4 linked regions of the Rattus norvegicus genome follow. The protein of the gene in region 1 interacts with the protein of each later gene in a pairwise test. Links are inferred from orthologs where the notes say so. Each region holds a gene or a part of one and is shown on either strand. Other genes may lie near its edges.

Region 1 (4,174 bases):
AAAAAAACTATTTTATGTATATGAGTGTTTTACCTATGTAGAAGCACAACATGTATGCACAAGTGTCGCTGAAACCAGAAGAAGCCAGATCCCCTAGAGTTACAGATGGTTGTAAATGGCACTCTGCAGTCGGTTCCCCAACTATTTTAAAATCAGCATTTAATTACCCATTCATTCAAAATCCATTGTTCATTCAGCAATACAAATTATTTACCTAATATGTGTTAGGCACTGTGCTGGTGCTGGGCAAACAAAACAGCCCTATCTATCAATTTAAAGTTCAATCCCAGAATCCACACAGTGCAAGGAGATAATCACCAACATTGTCTTCAGACTTTCACATAAGTGTATGCAGGGACACAAACACACAAAAAACATATGTAAAAACAAAAAATGTACATATATACACATACATAAAGATATTTAGAATGTGATACTAATTACTGTGAACAGAGACATTTAAGTGATGTGTTACTCCTCCTTTGAAGTTCAGATCCTTAAAGACCTGACTCTATTCTTCAACAGAACTGGCAGTCTGTAGATGTTAGGTAGATCAGTGAGCACAGAACTGTCTTGATTTCGTTTGGGGATAAATCAAAAGATGCTCTTTAAAAATCCGTAAGAAAACTCGCACCTTCCCCCTAGTGGCCTAATCTATCATATATGGCATTTGGTTGTGGACAGCGAAAATCAAATATCAGAACAGAAACCTGGTCCTACAATGGCAACTAATGATCACAAAATGAGTAATACGACCACGAGACACCAAGGAGCCTTTAAGGATGGGCTCGCCAAGTACTCAAGATATTCAGGGGCCAGGACCACAAACGAACGAACACACACACACACACACACACACACACACACACACACACACACACACACGAGAGGGTTTGGGGAGTGGGAAGAGGGACAGGGGGAGAGGGAGAGAGAGAGAGAGAGAGAGAGAGAGAGAGAGAGAGAGAGAGAGAGAGAGAGAGAGAATGAATGGTTCTGTGGCTTTTTCTGCAACCTCTTTCAGTCGTGCTGCTTCCCAAACCTCTGGGCACTGTGATGAAATCTATGCGGGTCCGCCACACCATCCCTAGCTGGGGGCGATGTTCAGTGGAGTGGACCGAGAGTTGGCGGGAATCTGCAATCCACTGGGGGGGGAGGGGGGAAACACGGAAACACAGCGCTTGACATGGAACCACGCCCCCAACCCTCTCTGCGCACAGGCATTCCCGGGTTTCCCACCAATCCCATTTTATCTGCTTTCGCAGGCCCCGCCCACCCAGAGCTGGAGGGCGGGGAAGCGTTAAACGCTGATCCGTGGCTCTGGGATAGACTGCACTTCCTGCGTCGGCGCCGTGAAGACTCCGCAGCCTTCTTTGACGATCACCGAACCGTAGTTGAGGCCGTGTTCCTGTGTCCGCTGCTGTGTCTGGTTGTAACCTCGCCGGAGCTATGGTGTGTTGAGCCCCGAGTCCTCGGAGGGTTTGGGGCTGAGGTCAGCTGACCTGGTCGGGGATCGGCCTCTGTTCCCTGAGGCGCGGGGCGGTGGGAGAGGGAGCTTACCTCACGGACATGCTCCTGCAGTGATTCAGCATCTGCGGCCTGGCCGGCGGGAAGCGATCAGTAACCTAGGCGGCCTATCGCGCAGCTTCTCCACTTTGCATGGGGTCCAGGCGCTTCTTTCTCGGCCAGCCAGTCGTCCTTCCCTCCCAATTTACTTAAGTGGCCTATTCCAAGATGCTGTATGGTCCTTCGTGATCTGCATAGGAGAGAGACTATAGGGGTGAAAGGGTGCATCTGGCATCGTCAGTGCAGACCAGAGCCTGCAGTCAGGTCTTCAGACCAAGTTCATCTTCCTTGTGGGTGTATTTGGCTTTATCCGTCTCATTAGAGTGCCGTAGGGAAAGGCTCCATACAATCATTTTGTTTTGTTACCTAGAGATGAAAGAGAAAGTGATAGAATCAGGTTTACAACGTAGGGCCCTGGGCTGCTTCTGTCGAGTCTGCCATGCAAACTCTTGGTCTTTTTACCCTCATGAATATTATACTCCCAAGGGCCGACAAACTTGCTTTAGTAATGACATTATAGCTATAGTGGTTCTGCCACGGTAGCTATTTGTGGCCACCTTTTTACTGAGAATTCGTGTGTTTGTTCATCCAGTGGTAAAGTACAGGAAGAAAGCTCAAAGCTAAGCCAAACGTAACTTTAATCATACTATAAAGATAAAAAGGTATGTAAAAGACCGGGTGTTGTGGTGCTTGAGTTTAATCCCAGCACTCAGGAGGCAGAGACAGGTAGAATTCGTGAGTTTGAGGCTAGCCTAACTCACAGTGAGTTCCAGGACAGCCAGAGTGTAGAATCCGAGTCGGAAAGAGAGAGAAGGGGGAAAAATATATATAGTTGAGCATGATGGCAGACACCTGTGATCTGAGCACTTGGGAGGCTGAAGCAGGACTTCAGGATCATTCTCCCAGGTATATAGCAAATGAAGGCCAAACTGGGCTGCATGAGACTTTAGCTCTGCTGGAAAATTGTGCTGAGAATTTTCGGAAAAAAGAAGAAACCTTCAAGAGATAGACATTTAAGTCGACTTAAAGAAAAGCCCTTTGCCAAATTATTAGAGCCCTGTGTAAGAGAGTAGTATGAGCAAAGTGTGCATTCTTTAGCACTTGACTGCCCGAGGGAAGTGCTATGGAGAATGGCAGAATATGAAGGTAGGAAGACCCTAGTCCATTCATCCCGACAGCCTGTACATGATTAAGGTAGAATTGCATTGCAAACTGAGCACTCTAATAGTGTCTCAGGAAAGCTGCACTAGCAGAGAGGCTTCAACAATTGAAACACATGTCTTATTGTTAAAATTTGAAAATTGTAATGTTCTCATATTAATCTTTCTTCCACTTTCAGTTTCGCAACCAGTATGACAACGATGTCACTGTTTGGAGCCCTCAGGTAAAATGTTTTATGACCTATTAATGAAGTGACTTTTCATGGCTGGAGTAGGGTCAGAAACCTGTGAGATCATAAACTGGGCTTGGAGGTTCACATTGTAATCTTTTAATTGGTCAGGAGGCCAGAGCCATAGGATCATGGAGTTGGTGGGCAGTTTGAGCAACTTAGTGGAACCCTATTTTAAAAAAGGAAACAAAGCTTGTGAGCTTATGGGCTACAAGCTTAAAGTTAGAATTAAAATTAGTTTATTGGTTTCAAAAAGTGAAAAATATTATTTTGTCTTTAGGGCAGGATTCATCAAATCGAATATGCAATGGAAGCTGTAAAGCAAGGCTCAGCGACAGTCGGCCTGAAGTCGAAGACACATGCAGTGCTGGTCGCGCTGAAGGTGAGTGACATGATGACCCTATCTTCCTCCCTCAGGAGCCAGAGCTATCAAATGTAAATTTCACTGATAAATAATCAACCTCCAAACTAAAATGCTGTGTCTATTTAGAGAGCACAGTCAGAGCTTGCCGCTCACCAGAAGAAAATTCTCCACGTTGACAACCATATTGGTATCTCAATTGCGGGTCTAACTGCTGATGCCAGACTGTTATGGTATGTATGATTATGAAAAATTAAGCATCGCTTTTCGTTTTTAATAGACTATTTTATTAAAAAATACCTAGATAAGATATAGGAAGTCATCTCCCAGAATATTATACTTTTTAATTGTTTATTTGTGTGGGTGTTTTATCTTCATGTATGTATGTCTGCACTAGTGTGTGTCTGGTTTCTTCAGACCTTAGACTCCCCTGGTATTGGGGTAACAGAAGATTATGAGCTTCCATGTGGATACTGGAATTGAACCTGGGACCTCAGGAACCTCTGAGACAGTTAAGCTATCTCTCTAGCCCCCAGAATATTAAAATTTGTAATATTGTAAATACCTTAGTGGGCTTGGGTGTGTAACTAAGTATTTCTATTTCCTTTTTTTTTTTTTTTTTCGGAGCTGGGGACAGAACCCAGGACCCAGGGCCTTGCGCTTCCTAGGCAAGCGCTCTACCACTGAGCTAAATCCCCAACCCCATATTTCCTTTTTTTTTTTTTAAGATTTTATTTATTTTATGCATATGAATACAGCTTCACTGTCCTCAAACATACCAGAAGAGGGCATCGGTTCATTACAGGTGGTTGTGAGCCACCATGTGGTTGCTGGTTGAACTCAGGACCTCTGGAAGAGCA
Region 2 (3,517 bases), on another chromosome or scaffold:
TAAAGGTACATGTGGTCTACAACCGTACCACCTGAAGCACACTTGATCTTGTCTGAAAAACTACACATACTGGAAAAGTGTTATTTTTTTCATTATTGCAAATATTTTCCTTTTCAGTTTACTCTAGACAAATGGGTACAGAAGGAAAATAAATAAATACAATGGGGGGAGGAAAGCACAGCTCTTCCACACCTGTTAAATAGTCTAGCCCCTCCAATAGTTTCTTTTCTCTAGAAAAATCTAAAGCAAAGTTTTCAAAGGCATCATTAAAATTGATGTCTGGAATCAGAACTTGCGAAGATGCAGTTGCCATAGCGACCCTGAAAAGAAAAAAAAAATACATCAATATACATCCAAATAAGCTTGCAACCTTCATCTAGTGTTTGATTTCTGGTTTAACGAGGTAAAAATAAATCACTTGTAAGTGAAAATACCAGATCTCTGCCTTTCCAACGGAAACGGTTTCCATTTTAATCGTAAGGAACCAATTAAGAGTTATACCATATTTACACACATATGTTCGCCCCTCAAACACACTCCGCCATCCTGTCTTAATTTTGAGAAGTAAATACAGGATTTTTTCCCCTCTGCATCATTTTCCATCTGGCAGGCAGCATCAAAGTAGACCTCTGCTGGCTTGGGAAGAGCAGCTTCAGATTGCTTTCTGTCTCCTTTTTCCGTGCTAACTAAGAAACCAACGTGTTGGGTTAGTGTCTCCCCATTAATACTATTCATTATTTGATCTTTTAAAATATTCATATTTCATTGCATTATTCTCTAATTGCATAACACTGTGATAACTATGTTCCCACCGAAATGTCTCTTTCCTATTTATGTATTTATTTGAGATAGGGTTTTGCATATCCCAGGCTAGCCTTGAACATGCTACCCAGCCAAGGATTACCTTGGAATCCTGTTTCGCCTCCTTATGTCTCCTGAGGGTCAGGGAGATGTGCCACCATGTCCCATTTAGGAGGTGCTGGGGATTCAACCTAAGGCTCTGTGTATGCTATGCAAACAGTCTGCTAACTGGGTTACAGTCTTAGGCTGTCCAACTAACTTTAAGAGACACAGGAATAGGTTCCTATTTTACCTCCTATATCTTCTTCTATGGTTCCTAAAACAATGTTGAACACATAGTGAATAAATATGTGTTGAACAAGTAACTGAGTGACTTACAAAAACAATATAATACTAAAGTTCATAGAATGCTTAGTATATATAAGGTTCTGTGCAAGAACATGAAGAATCTGCATAAAGTATCTAATTTTCTTCTACCACAATGTTATACAGTGGAAGTTATTTCTATTTTGTAAGCAAGGAAGCATGCACATTTAAAAGCTAAGGAGGCTGCCAAGATCACACACAATAGTAAAAGTCAAATTTTAATTGAAGCCACGTTTGTCTGATCTTAAATTCTGTTTCCATAACCGTGTACATTATTCCTAATTTTAAGTATACATTTTATGTACATCAGCAATTCTTATGATCCAATGGTTAATTAGACTTATGTGGGGAAACTTTTACAAAAATATTCAGATTTTAGTCCAGTATCAGACCTTCTGAATCAGAATTAATGAAGTTCCTTGTGCATACAGATAGCAAAATGGAAGGAAACATTATCTTGCAAACACTACGGAGGTTCCAGTGGAGAGAGGAAGCATGGGGTAGAGTAAAATCAGAACAGCAACTTTTATACTGAGCCATTTGTAAGGCAATGAGCAATTGGGCAAATACATATACTACATATCTACAACCAATAGCTTGTGCCTACTTCTGAAACCATAGATGTTTCTAGAATCGATTGCATGACAGCAAAAATAAATGAGGGGTTAACCGCATACAACTGTTTTGGATTTTATTTTTGGTATTGTTTTATCTTGTTGTTTTTGCTTTAACAGAATCTGCTGTACTTTAGGCTGGCCTTCACCTTCCTATGTACTTAAGGATGGCCTTGAGCTTGTGGTCCTTTTCTAGTACCACCTTAGTGCTAAGATTAAAGGGATACAACTAGATGCCCAGCACAAGACAATCTTAAGGTTTCACAGTGAAGAGCTATTTTTCTAGTATTTGATGAATAATAATCTTAATATTAAGTCAGAAAAATTGGTCATAATTTTTTCCTGGCCTTCCCAATATTTTTCTTTTATTCATCTACCTATCCATCCATTCACATACCCAAACGTTATTAAGCAAAACTAAGGTGCCCTACACTGTGCTCCATTGTACAGATATTCAAGGAAACAGGTTCACTGTGATCCACGCGTTCAATGAGCTCAGAGGTCATGGGGAACGAACAGAGACATTAAATGGGGAATGCAAGGAGGGTATGGGAAACACAGGAACATGGGACCAAAGACAACTCTCCCCAGAACAAGTTTCTGTTTTATTTTGGGTTTTGGTTTTGGTTGGGTTTGGTTTGGTTTGGTGTTTGTTTGTTCCTTGCCTTAAGACAGGGTTTCTCTGTGAAGTCTGAGCTGTCCTGGAACTCTGTAGGCCAGACTGGCATCAAACTCAGAGATCCACCTACCCCCGCCTCTCCAGTACCAAGATTAAAGGCATGCACCACTGTGCCCAGCTGGAAGCTACTCTTAAGCCATGACCTACATGATGATCAGTTAACAAAGGCTTAAAGGGTGGAGAAAGAGGCAGAACCATGTGAAATATTACATGCTATGTTTTTAACTCGAGCCTTTAACCTAAGAATAAGAACAGGAGACACTGGAGCAATTTAAGTAGAGGAATAATGAGCATAAATTTCTGTTTTAACAATAGTTCTAAAGCTGTAGCGGAAGAAGTGTGAGCTTCTCAAGTGAGAATCCTCCTTGAATGCCTTAGCAGCAGATTTTTAAGTCACTTAAGAATAAGCAGTAAGTGAGGTAATGAGGCAGGATAGTAGGACAGGGAAATTAGGGACTGTCTTCTGTAAGCCTTCAACTGTTAAGGAATCTCACAATAATCCCCACATTTACAGGAAAGGCACATCTTTTTTTTTTTTTCTTTTCTTTTTTTTCGGAGCTGGGGACCGAACCCAGGGCCTTGCGCTTGCTAGGCAAGCGCTCTACCACTGAGCCAAGTCCCCAACCCCGGAAAGGCACATCTTAACACCCTTGTGTAACCTTTGGACCCTGGTTTTACCTGATCAGGGTGAAATCTTACTCAAGGTTCCTACAGCCATCCCATTCCTTTCCTTATCAAAATGAAGAAAAGAGACAGAGGAAGGGTGTTCCCTTTAAAACACCTTGAACTGTGTAAGTTCAAAACCCTCTAAAATCTTCTATTGAGCTACCGCTAAGGAATTCAAGGGGGATGTCCTGTGAGAGGCCCATGCTCATACTCTCGGACATGTCGCATCCGTTCCCTGAGCACTTTTCTTTCTATTAACACCCCAAGTTCAAATCTGTGTCACACGTTCTTCCTAATAAACTCCAATTCTGCACCATACTGACTCAATCTGAAATTCTGCTTGCAGCCTAGAACCCTGGCTTTGCTTGAGTGCAGGCAGGTCTCTGAAAAG
Region 3 (3,517 bases), on another chromosome or scaffold:
AGGAAGCTGAAAAGAATGCTCCTGCCATCATCTTCATCGACGAGCTTGATGCCATTGCACCCAAAAGAGAGAAAGTAGGAACCTACCCAATGGGATGGTAAGGACTTGTGAGGTCCTGACCTAGCTTCTGACCAGACATACTACTGTCTTACAGACTCACGGGGAAGTGGAGCGTCGCATCGTGTCTCAGTTGTTGACCCTTATGGATGGCCTAAAGCAGAGAGCACATGTGATAGTTATGGCAGCAACCAATAGACCCAACAGCATTGACCCAGCCCTACGGCGATTTGGTAAAGACCTTAAATTTTTTTCCTACACCACCCTTTTTTTTTTTTTTTTTTTTTTTAATATATAAGACAAGAGTTTCTCTGTGTAGCCCTGGCTGTCCTGAAACTATGAATACCAGGCTGACCTCAAACTCAAGAGATTGACCTGCCTCTGCCTTCTGAGTGCTTGGGATTAAAGTTGTGCACCACCATCGTGCAAACCAGCCTGTCCTTACTTGTTGATATATTGTAGGGTATATTGTTGGTATGTCTGTTGGGCTTGATTTCCTTATCTCACCTATGTCTTTAAGTTACTTAATCCTCAGAATTTAAGTTCTTTGTCATGACAGGACCTAAGGTTTTTTTTTTTTTTTTCCATTCTGTGTTCTCTCTAGGGCACTCCCTCAACCTTTCTAGTGCTGCGACCCTTTAATATAGTTCCTCATGTTGTAGTGACCTTCAATCATAAAGTTGTTACTACTTCATGGCTGTAATTTTGCTACTGTTATGAATTGTAATGTAAAATATTTGTCATAGAGGGTATTTGATATGTGACACCCACTCCCACCCCCGTTAAGTGGTTGTTCTGTCCCAGAGGGGTCGAGATCCAGGTTGAGAGCCACTGCTCTAGAGTAACTATCTATTTTTTGCCTAAGTCTGAAAGATTTCCAGGTTGTGAGGCATTAATGCTAACTTTAAATAAGAGAGTTCTGGAGTGACTTCTGTGGACCAGAAACTTCCTATTTTACATTCCTTTATTGTCCCATAGGTCGCTTTGACAGAGAGGTAGATATTGGAATCCCTGATGCTACAGGACGTTTGGAAATTCTTCAGATCCATACCAAGAACATGAAACTGGCAGATGATGTGGACTTGGAACAGGTGGAGTGGTGATGATGGCTGGCCAGAATTTAGGATAACTCTGTTGTAGGAGGTTGCAGGGGACTACATGCATAGACTAAGAAAAGAGGCTTCATATCAGTAATCTAGAACGGGGGGGGGGGGGGAGGACGGACAGGAGGAGCCTGAGTTTGAGGCTTGTTAGGGCTACACAGCAAGGTCGTTGTATCTTTTCTTTTTTTCTAAAAAAAAAGCTGGATGGACTTTGTTTTTAACTTCAGAGCAGGAATGTGCTTCTTAGTTGTTGCTGTATGTATGAGTTGTTGGAGCAGTTTTATTTTCAGCTCCCCAATCCGGTGTGAATATTTAACACCTCTGCCTGTAAAAGGTCTGCTATAATATATCTCTTCAAGGAAACAGGAAGAATCAGAGATATGAAACATGGGATGGAGTCAGGATTCTGTTTCTGACTTGATAAGGTAGCTGGATCTTGAGGATGGTCAGTATATCTTCTCTTTGCAGGTAGCCAATGAGACTCATGGTCATGTGGGTGCTGACTTGGCAGCCCTGTGTTCAGAGGCTGCTCTACAGGCCATCCGGAAAAAAATGGACCTCATTGACCTAGAAGATGAGACCATTGACGCTGAGGTCATGAATTCCCTGGCAGTTACTATGGATGACTTCCGGGTAAGGACCATATTACACCCAAATTAGGAATATGTTTATGTATTTTGTTGTGAGGACCCCGCCCCCAAGTCTCATCTCCACTTTTTCAAACTCCCTTTTTAGTGGGCCTTAAGTCAAAGCAACCCATCAGCACTTCGGGAAACTGTGGTAGAAGTGCCACAAGTAACCTGGGAAGACATTGGAGGCCTGGAGGATGTCAAACGGGAGCTTCAGGAGTTGGTTCAGGTAGGCTAAGTTTTGCTCTAGTATGGTGGGTCATTCCCTCAGTATATAATAATCAACTTTTAGGTCTCAGACTGATTTACTAAGAATTGAGCGTATAACTCTGTTACAGAGTTTTAGATAATAATGAACTGCCCTAAGTTACTGCTGCTACAGTGAAGTACTATGACAAAAAGCAAGTTAGGGAGGAAAGAGTTCCACACTGCTGTTCATCAAACAGAGCAGGAGCTGATGCAGAGGCCATGGAGGGGTGCTATTTAAGGCCTTGCTTCCAAAGCCAGCTGTCTTATAGAACCCAGAACCATCAGCCCAGGGGTGGGACCACCCACGATGGGTGGGGCCTTCCCACATCAAAAACTAATGAAGAAAATGCCTTATAGCCAGATTTTATGTAAGAATTTTCTCAAGGTTCCCTTTTTTCAGATAACTCAAGTTAGGTGTCAGGTTGATATAAGACTAGGTAGCATGGAAGCCTATATACAAAAAACTTGGATGTTAGACGTTTGTATCATAAAGATGCTATGCTTCTGATATGATTTGATTTAAAATATGGGGTTGCCCTTAAATTATCTTTGCTTTTCTTCTAGTATCCTGTGGAGCATCCAGACAAATTCCTCAAATTTGGCATGACTCCTTCCAAAGGTGTTCTTTTCTATGGACCGCCTGGCTGTGGGAAAACCTTACTGGCCAAAGCCATTGCTAATGAATGCCAGGCTAACTTCATCTCCATCAAGGGTCCTGAGCTGCTTACCATGTGGTTTGGGGAATCTGAGGCCAATGTCAGGGAAATATTTGACAAGGTAAGCTAGATGGCTAGCTGATGTTCATATGTATGTATGGCAAGGGGCAAGGTGGAATGAGAGGTTATTTCTCCAGACGCAAAAAATTTTATTACTGGCAGCTCAGTTGGGGCATTACTGATTACTCTGTTTTCTTCCTGAAGTATGAGAAATCTAGTTATATTAGTATTTGAGATGGTCTTTTCTTTTTCATAGGCACGACAAGCTGCCCCCTGTGTACTCTTCTTTGATGAGTTAGATTCAATTGCCAAGGCTCGTGGTGGTAATATTGGAGATGGTGGTGGAGCTGCAGACCGAGTCATCAATCAGATCCTGACAGAAATGGATGGCATGTCCACAAAAAAGAATGTGTTTATCATTGGAGCTACCAACCGGCCTGACATCATTGATCCTGCTATCCTAAGACCTGGCCGTCTTGATCAGCTCATTTATATCCCACTTCCTGATGAGAAGTCCCGTGTTGCCATCCTAAAAGCCAATCTGCGAAAATCCCCAGTTGCCAAGGCAAGTGCAAAGTTGTCAGCCATAGGGACTTTTTCTGTTAAGCAGATGTGGAGTGGCAGAGGCAGAAGCCAGTCTGTTTAAAATAGAAAGTCCAGAGACCCTGTGCTCTGTGGGAGGAAGGCACAGTGCTAACAGCTAACATACTCTTGTGCTTCCTTTAGGATGTGGATTTGGAGTTCTTGGCTAAGATGACTAATG
Region 4 (3,114 bases), on another chromosome or scaffold:
TGGCCACGAGGGAGATCTGCCGGTTCAGCACCCTGATCGAGGAGCTGGAGGAGAAGAATGAGCGGCCAGCCAGGGGGCTCCTGACGGTGAGGCCTGGCCTACCCTCACCCCTAGGGTCTCTGGAATCATTACCTAGTCGGTACCTCCTTTACATACATGTCTCTGCATCCCGGACGGATATGGAACACGGAACAGGGGGTTGAACTCTAGGCTATGCTTCCCCAAGAGATGCCTGGTCACTGTGCTCTCTGGTCTTGGTCTTTCTTTCCTGCCATCCGTAGACACGAGGATATGGCGGTATAAAAAGGTGGAAGCTGCTCTTGAGAAGTATCGAGTGCTCGCTTCGGCAGCACATATACTAAAATTGGAACGATACAGAGAGAGAAGTATCGAGCAGCGTGCCGACAACTGCCAGGTGCTGCTCCCAAAGCAACATTGTAATAACTTGAACGTCCCCCTCTGCTGGCCAGAAAGTTCTTCCAAGACTGTCTTACTTCCTTGAACCTGAAGAGAAGAGTTATTGGGGTCCTGGAAGCAGGATTTAGGGAGATGTACTGGGTCCTGGGATATAAGACACCTTGGTGTAGGACTTGCTTACTTTTGCCTATAGCAAGAAGTAGGTCATATCACCAAGTCTGTCCATGAAGCAAAGGAGCCAGGTGCTGGTTTCTGGTCCTCATATCCAAGGATGGGAATACAGTACTTTGTATTTTATGGTCGAGACAAAAGTGGGAGAGAAAAAAACAGAACCTAATCTCTCTCTCTCTCTCTCTCTCTCTCTCTCTCTCTCTCTCTCTCCCTCCCTCCCTCCCTCCCCCTCTCCCCCTCTCTTCCCCCTTCCTCTCCCTCTTCTTCCCCCTCTCCCTCCCCCTCCCCCTTCCCCTATCCCCCTCTCTGTCCCTCTCCCTCTCCTTCTCCCTCCCTTTTCCCCTCCCTCCCTTCCTCCTTTCTTTTCCTCCTTCCTTCTTCCAGGATATCAGAAGCACTCTAATAAGGTTAGTGATAGTGTCTATTCCTTTTTTCCCCTGTAGACATCCATCCGTACACTACCCACCTAGTTATTGCCATGCAGATAAACCACACTCTCAATTTAATGTACAGCCGTGTATAAATCTACAAATGCTCAAATGTGTTCTCAGATACTGCCATAGATCTACCCACTTTTGCAGCAGTGGGGTCCGTCTGAGAGGATCCAAGTCTCTGTGTGGGAAGTCACTCCTCCAGGCCTTGTTAGAAGAAGATGGCCGTCTAGGGACCTCATTAAAAGAGAATAGTTCTGGGGCTGGAGAGATGGCTCAGTGGTTAAGAGCACTTGTTGCTCTTGCAAGGGGCCCAGGACTCAGTTCCCAGAACCCATACAATAGTTCATACCTAGTAGATCCTATACCCTCTTCTGTTCTCCATGAACACTGTATACATGTGATATACATACATGCTGGTAAAATACCCATACACATAAAATTAAATATTTTTTTAAAAGATTTATTTTTTAATTTAAGGTTGTTTTTTTTTTTCGGAGCTGGGGACTGAACCCAGGGCCTTGTGCTTGCTAGGCAAGCGCTCTACCACTGAGCCAAATCCCCAACCCCTTAAGTACGTTTTTAATTTTGCACTTTAAATTTTTGCTTAATTTAAAAAATTAAATATTTTTAAAAGATCTTTTAAAATTCCCAGACTCTGCCATTTCTGTGCCCCTAGATGTGAAACCAGAAAGGGCCGGAAACCTGAGGCTATATCCCCAGGACTGGGCCAAAGGATCCGGGACTTCCCCCAACAGGTCATGCCCCTGCGGCAGGAGATGAAGATATTTCTGGGTAAGGAGACCACAACCTGGGCTTAGGAACGGCCTCCTGCCTTCCCTGCCAAATGATTGTACTATGTGTTTTTTAGCACATCTCATTTCCTTCCGTACCTTGACTTTCTTATTTGCCAAGTCCGATAAAAATCTTAACTCTCGGGATTATGCGGCGGCGAAGAGACATAATAAAAGTGAGGACTTGGGAGTTGGGAATCAACCTATTAAACAAATCTGACCAGTTGACATGACGTAGTTGAGGAAATAATGGTTAACAACATCCATGACCCTACATCATCAAGGGTTCTCAGTAGCAGGTGTAATGCATTGTGTGTTTTAATGGTTACCTTTGTTAACTACAGCTGGTGGCAGTGATTGCCTCACCGTGGACGTTGATTCTTCCTTCTTCCTTTGCTTCCTGTCGCTGGTTTTTTTTTTTTTCACTCCTGAAAGTTGAACCCAGGGCTCCTGTATAGTAGTCAAATGCTCTACGATGGACTACGTGCCCTGGCTTTCCCTCTACTTTTTCTTTTTGTTGGAATGGCTGTCTAAACTGAGACACCCTTATAGGGACTGAGTCACACTCCCTTCCCAGAAGAGGGAGTCATCATGGCAGCCAGCCAAGAAAGTTCGAAATGTTGTGGCTTTCTGCTCCCTTCCAATGGTGAAATCGAGAACAATGTCACATATTTCTAAAGTTCACGCCCACAAAAAAAGTTCCCCTGGGAGGACATTTCTGGAGCCCTGCTTCCTCCAAGAACTCACAGTAGAGGAACTAGACGGTAGAGGAAGTTTTACTCTAATCAAAGGCTGACTATTGACTGTCCTAACCACTATTTCCAAGTGGAAGAAAAAAGGTGAACCTAATTATCTATTCCCTACGTATACGTGTATGAAAATAGAAGGCAGGACAGCCATAGTCCCTGTCTGCTCAGAGGTGGGGTAGCAGGTTTCTCCCTGAGTTCTAGGCCAGGGGCATCCGTAACCCCTTGTGAGACATCTGTGTCTCTGCAGCCCTGCCCCAGGGTGTCTGGATTTGAAATCGCAGTGATTGTTCTAAGAGGACCGGATGTAAGCAAACTTGTAAGTGCTGGTCTAGACAATTGCACCGCCATTCTTCTCTCTCTTCCTTCCCTCCCTGCCACTGGGTCTTCTGCGGTTTTGAGATCAATGAAATCTCATCTTGTCCTTATTTCCTCCTCACAGAAAAACTCTGCTTTGAGTTGGACTATGAGCCAGGTAAGCGACCCTGCATTAGGATGGGGAGAATGTTTTTTTTAAAGTCCTGAGAAAGAGAAACCACGTTTCTGGGTTCTGCA

The links. The genes of interacting proteins can lie anywhere in the genome.
Region 2: the proteins of Psma1 (region 1) and Mid2 interact in binary tests that used the Homo sapiens proteins (3 or more experiments, as listed by UniProt). The two-hybrid records come from large-scale screens. The link is inferred for Rattus norvegicus from reciprocal best matches to the Homo sapiens genes PSMA1 and MID2.
Region 3: the proteins of Psma1 (region 1) and Vcp interact in binary tests that used the Homo sapiens proteins (3 or more experiments, as listed by UniProt). The two-hybrid records come from large-scale screens. The link is inferred for Rattus norvegicus from reciprocal best matches to the Homo sapiens genes PSMA1 and VCP.
Region 4: the proteins of Psma1 (region 1) and Trim10 interact in binary tests that used the Homo sapiens proteins (3 or more experiments, as listed by UniProt). The two-hybrid records come from large-scale screens. The link is inferred for Rattus norvegicus from reciprocal best matches to the Homo sapiens genes PSMA1 and TRIM10.

What each region holds. Positions count from the first base shown.
Region 1 is NC_086019.1:177,885,042-177,889,215, reverse strand, and holds the start of Psma1 (proteasome subunit alpha type-1), read left to right. Parts: upstream 1-1,358; 5' UTR 1,359-1,446; coding exon 1,447-1,449; exon of another isoform or gene 1,450-1,929; intron 1,930-2,902; coding exon 2,903-2,947; intron 2,948-3,233; coding exon 3,234-3,335; intron 3,336-3,443; coding exon 3,444-3,547; intron 3,548-4,174. UniProt on the Homo sapiens protein: Component of the 20S core proteasome complex involved in the proteolytic degradation of most intracellular proteins. This complex plays numerous essential roles within the cell by associating with different regulatory particles.
Region 2 is NC_086039.1:109,223,820-109,227,336, reverse strand, and holds part of Mid2 (probable E3 ubiquitin-protein ligase MID2), read right to left. Parts: intron 321-3,517; coding exon 193-320; intron 1-192. UniProt on the Homo sapiens protein: E3 ubiquitin ligase that plays a role in microtubule stabilization. Mediates the 'Lys-48'-linked polyubiquitination of LRRK2 to drive its localization to microtubules and its proteasomal degradation in neurons.
Region 3 is NC_086023.1:62,008,371-62,011,887, reverse strand, and holds part of Vcp (transitional endoplasmic reticulum ATPase), read left to right. Parts: coding exon 1-74; intron 75-154; coding exon 155-290; intron 291-1,035; coding exon 1,036-1,148; intron 1,149-1,628; coding exon 1,629-1,793; intron 1,794-1,895; coding exon 1,896-2,018; intron 2,019-2,602; coding exon 2,603-2,815; intron 2,816-3,010; coding exon 3,011-3,319; intron 3,320-3,480; coding exon 3,481-3,517. UniProt on the Homo sapiens protein: Necessary for the fragmentation of Golgi stacks during mitosis and for their reassembly after mitosis. Involved in the formation of the transitional endoplasmic reticulum (tER).
Region 4 is NC_086038.1:1,697,356-1,700,469, reverse strand, and holds part of Trim10 (tripartite motif-containing protein 10), read left to right. Parts: coding exon 1-86; intron 87-972; coding exon 973-995; intron 996-1,674; coding exon of another isoform or gene 1,675-1,698; coding exon 1,699-1,814; intron 1,815-2,809; coding exon of another isoform or gene 2,810-2,835; exon of another isoform or gene 2,836-2,878; intron 2,879-3,001; coding exon 3,002-3,034; intron 3,035-3,114. UniProt on the Homo sapiens protein: E3 ligase that plays an essential role in the differentiation and survival of terminal erythroid cells. May directly bind to PTEN and promote its ubiquitination, resulting in its proteasomal degradation and activation of hypertrophic signaling.